Astyanax mexicanus: one gene and its partner. The protein of the gene in region 2 purifies or fractionates together with the protein of the main gene of each other region. This does not show direct contact. Links are inferred from orthologs where the notes say so. Each region holds a gene or a part of one and is shown on either strand. Other genes may lie near its edges.

Region 1 (3,756 bases), on a different chromosome or scaffold from region 2:
TGAACAAGCTGTCTTTTATTTGCTTAAGTTGAATATTTAACACCCAGCAGTTTCATTCTGAGCTGTAGCACTATGGTCCAACTCACCAAGTTCCTGTTTAGAGGGTTACATCTGTGCCACAAACCTCAACTAATGCAGAATGCAAACATGCAAAAGCGTGACGATATTTTTTATTTGCATTGCATTATGTCCGTCTAAAAAAATAAACTATTAATAGTTGAGTAGAGTTTTGCATGTAAATGACAAATGCACGTAAATTCTGTCTTCTGTTCTGAGAGGCTGCTCTCTGACATGCCACATTTCCTAGCTAAAAAAAAGTCTTCACCTGGATTTAATTAAGCAAATTATGTGGGGTTGATGCTGAAGTTGGTCAGGTCTAGGTTCAGGAACAGTATGTGCTGAAAGAATGAGGTCAGCTGACTACCTGAATATAGACCAGATTATTTCACTGACAGCGAGACAGACCTCAATCAATCAAAAGCATGTGCATTATCTGTGTTCAGATTCATGGCTTAGCTGAACCCACACAGAGGAACCAGGCTGCTAATTGGAATAGTGTATAATGCTGTTAATGGACTTTTTAACACCACATATGCTCTTACTCTGGCTTCAATGTACTCAATCCTCCTCTCCAGGGCAGTCAGCTTCTCATTCAGGGTGGCTAGGCGGGACCTGCACGACATATCTGGTAAAGAAAGCAGAGAGATATTCAGAAACTGATTGTTACTCTTACTTTTGTACATAAGCATAGTTTATTTAGCAATTTTTTAGCAGTAGACATTTGTACAATATAGAAAAAAACATCCATTTAATAGTTGTTTTTGCCATATGCTGCCAGTCAAAATCATTACTGTCAACATACAGAAACAAGACAATATATAAAGCACATCCCAGATATCCATCACAGGGAATTGGCCACTTGTATTCTGGAAAAGGACCAAGCTATGCCGACTGCAATATTACAATTGGCCAACACTGGCTGAGCTACTTCAAAATATTTTCTATCTTTTTTATTACTGGTAGTTTCAATAGACCTATTCTTTGGTTTATCCAGTTAATGTGAAAAAGAGGGATTAAAGATGTGACCAGTCTATGTAAGAACCAGTTGGCTAAAAATATTTTGCAAATAAACAATTTTCAAGCGATTTCACTGTCGCAGACAAATTTCCAGTGTCAGGATAAAATCATAAGAGTGTTGCTAGAGTTGATTTGCGGTCGTGTCATCTTAATTGTTCAGTGTAAGATGGTTAGGATTGAAGTCAGTGTTTTTCGCGTCCTGACAATCAGATAAGACCAGATAAAATCGATCGTGTTAAATATTGTCGTAAGTTTTGAGACTTAGCTCACACAAATAGTGACCTGAACAATGTCAACAACCAATCGAAGAGCTACAGGAAGCTGCAAAGCAATATTACTTACTTTTTTACTTAATATTTTACGTGACTCTTCACAAACGATAAAAAAAAAAACACATTTTGCAGTTAATACGTCTTAAATGGACCTTACTTTAATATGTACAATACTTTAAACACAAGTAGCACTTTAAAGTCAATATATATAAAGTTATTTTATTTTGCACTACTTTGTCTTGTTGTTCAGTGTTATTTTTGATACAAACAAGTTTAATAAATACACATTTTGCAAGAATGGTGTTCTTAATTGCATTGATTCTATCTAAAACAAAGTTAAATAGGTATAGCAGTGAAACTGTGATTCTTTTCTTTTCAAGGTTGAAGCAAAAAAGTGAAAATAAGCAAATTGGCAGAGTTAAACACAAAATGTATTATATTAAAAAATATCAAGAAGTAACATTGTGACTAAAAAATAAACTGTTGATGGGCCAAAAGCTGTAAATCTCTAATAAATCACAGTATTGATGTACACATTATTTGTAACTCAAAATGTAATTCGACTGTATGTAATCTCCACCAGAAGCATGATGGTAAATAATCTCAGAAATAATCTAATTGCAGTCTTGCAAACAGTGATCCTCTGTCTATCTGTGAGTAAAAAGTCTGTGACTTGTCTTTGGGTGTCTACTGTCTTTTTAAAGTTCTCTGGTGTATGGTTAGCATTAGTCATACTGAGCTGCAGCGCCACCAGAACGCACCCAGAAAAAAACAGGAAGCTAAAAGAAGCTAGTGGTTTATATGTAGCTAAGGAGGTATAATGAGAAATATACATTTATATACACTGTACTGTAATATTAAAGACTCACATTTACGGTTTATTACACTCAAAAAGTTTATCTATCCCGCCAGCTAACTGCATTAACATTACTGTAGCCTGAGTCCACTATGTTTATGTTTATATTGACGGGCTAAGCTAGCTGGCTAGGTTAGCTAAGCTATAAGGCTAAACTAGCTCTCTAGGTGACGACTTGTCCTGTATAAATATGTACACTACACCCTCCCCAGCTCCAGTTACGCTCTAAATAACGAGCCAAAAGCCTGTGAACATATCTAAAAACAGGGATAACCCACATTAACCAGCTAATAGTTATCCATCCGCCCCTCCTCATTCCTCCACACGCTAGCTAACACCGTTAGCACCGCGGCTACCGCAGCTCACGGCCGGTTACACACAGCCCCCAGCCCGCTCCTCTGGCCGAACTCACCGAAGGAATTGAGGAAATCGGCTATTTTCTTGATGCTGCTGGTAATCACTTCGATATACTCGCGATTTGCCCAGTCCTGGTGGATTTCTCTCTGCACTGGATCCTCCTGTCCGGCCATGTTGATCTACTGAAGCCGCTGCGTTTGTTTTAGTGGCTCCGCAGCGCCGCCTGCAGCCAAACATGCGGCGAAAAACTCAACAGTATACGGCTCCTCGAAAAAGTGGGTCATTCTGCAGTTTATTCCATTTAAAAAAAATAAAGCAGATATTAAGCAGATATTATTGTTGTTTACCAGACATAAATCTTTATTATTTATCTCGATTTCTTTATCTTTAATAACAAAGTTTATATTACAAAAAAATTATGCAGTAATAAGGTAATTAGAATCAGACATTTTTTTTGTTCATCTTTATTTGACACTTCTCTATCAGCCATTTAACCAAAAGTTTTTGGACTTTAAAATTAAACCAACATTTTTTTGGACCTTTCTTTATCAGCCCAAATATTGGCATTCCACCATTTAACCAAAAGTTTTTGGACACTTCTTTATCAGCCCAAGTATTGGCATTCCACCGTTTAGCTAAAAGTTTTTAGATTTAGCATTTATTTAAGCAATATTTAAGCATTTAACCAAATGTTTTTGGACTTTATCTTTTAACCAAATGTTTTTGGACACTTCTTTATCCACCATTTAACCAAAACATTTCTTGATTTTAGCATTTAACCAAACGTGTTTGGACTTATACATTTAACCAAACGTTTTTGGACACTTCTTTATCATCCCAGGTATTGGCATTCCACCATTTAACCAAACGTTTTTGAACCTTATCATTAACCAAACGTTTTTGGACACTTCTTTATCAGCCCAAATATTGGCATTCCAGCATTTATCCAAAGGTTTTTGGATTCTAACATTAGACCAATTTTTTTGGAACCTTTTTAATCATCCCAAGTATTGGCACTCATTTTTTTTATTTTAGCATTTAACCAAACGTTTTTGGCACTTCTTTATCAGCCCAGGTATTGGCATTTCACCATTTAACCAAATGTTTTTGGACACTGCTTTATCAGCCCAAGTAATTGGCATTTCACTATTTAAGTAAACGTTTTTGAACCTTATCATTTAACCAAAGGTTTTT
Region 2 (3,756 bases):
GGAACTTTTTTTGTCTTTGCTCTGCGGCGCAGTAAACTCACAGACCACTCGTTTGGTGTAAAATCACCAAATGCTCTCTCTCCTCTGCCAATCAGATCTGTGTAGACTGCTGCCCTGGCCAGTGAATTGGGACGCGGCCGGGAAAAACTTCTATATAAAGAGATCAGGAGCCGGAGAACTGGCTGAAAAACGAGAACGGACGGAAACTAAAGACACGCTGAGTGCGACAAAGAGACAGGAATGTACACACAATTATACAGGATATAGTTAAAAATGGCCCGGACCTTGCACTGACGAAATTTTCTCCAGCATTCAAAATCATAGACAACCTGTCAGGTAACAAACTGATGGATTGGTCACCTGTAATGTGGGACACTCATCAAAACCTGCTTTCACCTGTTACCTAATCACCTGATTATCATGAATTTATGAAATGTTCCAAAATATGTGTTCTGTATTGAATTACAATTTCTTAACTCATTTTGAGAATTGAGCAGACTATTCTGCAGATGATGACTTATACGATGAAATTGTGCTGACATGTTTTGGAGAGAACAACCATAACACTGAGAACCAACCAATTGGGATAGACCAACAAGATGCATTCTTTTGGAAAATGTGCTAAATGTAGGATGATTGTGTTAAGTGTAGGCTACTTGTACATAACCATTTGCAAAGATGTACTAAGTGCTTGAGACATGTACAAAGCATTTGAAATGTGATGAAAGCAATGAGAAATGCCATTCTGTTGTGAGGAACCGCAAGTTAGTTTGGGGATTTGTCCATATTATTTTGTAAATGTCATCTCAGTTTCAATAAATGAGCCAAACCAATGGAGAAAAACTGTAAGAGGGGGTGAATTGGAGTGGGAGGAATTGTCCAAAATACTGAGTATTTTTCCCAGCATCCTCCTCTCTGAAACCTTTAAGAGAGTCCAGCTCCACACCCAGTGCAGAGCCTGCTTTTCACCACAGAGTGATAAAACATCTTCAGCATTTTTTACACATATACAGTATTCAATAACTTGCGCATCACTTTAAATAATGATGTCTGTTTACAAATTTAACATGCTAAATTTGTTATGTAAGAATTAAAAATCTTAATAGCAATGGAAAATCAATCATATATATAATTAAAGAATATCGAGATTATTTTTATTTTTTACAGTATCGCCCAGCCCTACAACAGGGTGCTGTCCTGTTTCTCGTGCCTACACCTTTAAGCAGAGATTTGTGGAGCTTAAAGCGAGCATCTCTCCATATTTCGGATGTGTTGGAGCAGGCCCGCGGGTCAGGAATGCCCAGGCCGCGCTACTCCGCCGGGAACAGATGTTTTCAGCCCAAACGGGTGGAGCGCTGCTCTGCTCACAGCCACGACCACAGCCACACCCCTTCTGTACAAGACTGACAGCTGAATCAACCAATTGCGTGTGAGGAGCTACTTAAGCCGTCCAATGAAAAGTTAGTAAATCCGAGCCTCTGAAGTCAGCGCCCGATTGCTCTGGTGACGGCAGATGCGGACATTTTTCTCGGTTAGAGAGAGTTGAGCTGCGAGTTTCAGTAATGTTGAGGTAGTTAGCGAATTAAAGTGGTTGTTCGACTTCAGCAGAGAGGAGCTGTATCTTTCACCCTCGGGTAAGAGAGTTCAGGAAGTATTTTCAGGGTTTAATTCAGAAAAATAGCGAGTTTATGCTGTATTTTGGGCTGTTTAGGCGGCTAAGCTAACCTAGCTAACCAAAGATCTGGCTAGCTGCTAACTGCTTACTTCCTGCTGTGGAGCTCAGGGTGGGCCGCCCTGGGAGTTTTGCTCTCAGAAAGTTGAGAAGTTTGCCCTGTCTAATAGTTTGACGTCTAATATTTTACAGAATGCTTTAAAGTGCTTAAAACAGACCTTTATCTCTTTATTATCTGTCTAAACTCTTTCAAAACGAGTCTGATTTCGCTGAAGACTTGACTGTAAGTTACCTCCATACTGTGGCTAAGTTTTCTGGTTTATTATTAGCGTTAGCCATTATTTAATCCTTTCGATACGTTTTTGATACTGTACGTCTGTAGTCAACTAGTGAGTTAGGTAACTACATTTAGCGTTGTTTTATATCTGACTTCTGCTGTCACTTAATAAATGAAACTTCTGTTGGACGTTTAGTTAACGTTACCTTCATCTAGCTTGCTAGTACTTCCAGTTAGCTGTAAGCTAGTTCCAGGTCTTCTAAAGTCTGCTGTAAATATGCAGTAAATCTCAGTATGGATTAGCTACCTAGGTTAACTAGCCACTAGCTACTGTAATGCCTAGGCCTGCTATTTGGGTTGTTTGTAGCTACCTCCCTAAAGATTTGATCGTTTGTTTTATTAGTTTTTTTTAATTACATCTGGGTGTGTGTTCGTGTAGAGTTCTGTAAACTTCCTCTAAAAGAGGAAGGTCAGAGGACTTGATGGCATGCAGCTGTGTCTATGTTCCTCTGATAGTTACCCATATCAGCTGACAGTTATGGTGCTTAAATGTTATATTTAATAAAATAAAAAGTGTATTTTATGAAAGATGAAAAATATGTGAATGGCACTAGTCACTAACGTAAAACCTCAAACTTTTAAGATGTTTTGACATTTTGATTACAGCTGCAACTAATGATTATTTTGTTAGTCGACTAATCTGATGATTGTTTTTTGGATCAGTCAACATTTATTTCAGTCGTGACTTCCATTGCTTTAAAATGAAAAACATCTAAACGTAGGGTTTATATGCCTTTTAAATTACCAGAAGAGGTTTAAATGTGGACTATTATTTAGTGAGTAAATGTGCTATCTGTTGTGTTGGGGATCATTTACAGCATAGACATTCTGGTTTAAAATGCACATTACCATAATTTTACTCACTTTTCCTTTACCTATTGCACAACATTGGTCTGCACATACACATCTGTATTGCTGCACTTCATGCTTTACACCCAACAGTACCATTTTTTTCTTTTAACAGTATATATTAGACTACACATTAAAACTAAAAAAACATCATATTTCTGTATGTATCTATATGATAACAAGACAATATAAGATAACCATATTTACCATACTTGTGCTTGAGGCACAGATGGAATGTGGCCTTTACCTTAATACCATTAGTGTAGTGAACACGCCTATACACACCTGTGAGCAAGCTCACAACATATTTTGTAATCTCTCTTAGCTGGTCCTTTATTTTTTTTTAAATATGATTATCAGAGTTACTGATTACTATTAGTTGTACCATGAAAGACTAATTTAATTTGGCTTGATTTGAGCACCAGCACAATGGGCAATAGCTTTAGCTTGAATTGTTTTTTTGTTTGTTTGTTTTTTTCACAACACAGTGGAATTTAGTCACCACCTGATTTTGCAACATTTGGGGATTAAAGCATTGTGTGTTTGTTTAGAGTTGGGTCTAAACTGTACAGGAAAACATGTGCTTGTGAAAAGGTACTAATCAAGTGCCACTGTCTGAAAATATGCTGTTACATTTATAGATATATTTATCAGTCATATCACACTTTTTTATGTTAATTATACTACTTTAAAGGCTTGTTTCTATTTTTTTCTAGTATTCTATTCATAGTTTTATTACATTTTAGTGTTAAATAATGCTGTCCTGACAAGAGAGTCTCCCTGACCTTCCTTCTTTATGTGCTTGTATGTATGTCCAACAATGAGACAGTGTACAGAGTAACCCTAAACATTTCTATTTACCATAGTATTTCTAGTATATATAGTATATCTGAATCTG

Evidence for each region.
Region 1: the proteins of wasf2 (region 2) and brk1 purify together in Homo sapiens (co-immunoprecipitation; 3 studies listed by BioGRID and IntAct, with this or other methods). This does not show direct contact. The link is inferred for Astyanax mexicanus from reciprocal best matches to the Homo sapiens genes WASF2 and BRK1.

The regions. Positions count from the first base shown.
Region 1 is NC_064431.1:28,748,247-28,752,002, reverse strand, and holds the start of brk1 (probable protein BRICK1), read right to left. Parts: upstream 2,782-3,756; 5' UTR 2,736-2,781; coding exon 2,618-2,735; intron 686-2,617; coding exon 603-685; intron 1-602. UniProt on the Homo sapiens protein: Involved in regulation of actin and microtubule organization. Part of a WAVE complex that activates the Arp2/3 complex. As component of the WAVE1 complex, required for BDNF-NTRK2 endocytic trafficking and signaling from early endosomes.
Region 2 is NC_064410.1:50,560,028-50,563,783, forward strand, and holds the start of wasf2 (wiskott-Aldrich syndrome protein family member 2), read left to right. Parts: upstream 1-1,488; 5' UTR 1,489-1,634; intron 1,635-3,756. UniProt on the Homo sapiens protein: Downstream effector molecule involved in the transmission of signals from tyrosine kinase receptors and small GTPases to the actin cytoskeleton. Promotes formation of actin filaments. Part of the WAVE complex that regulates lamellipodia formation.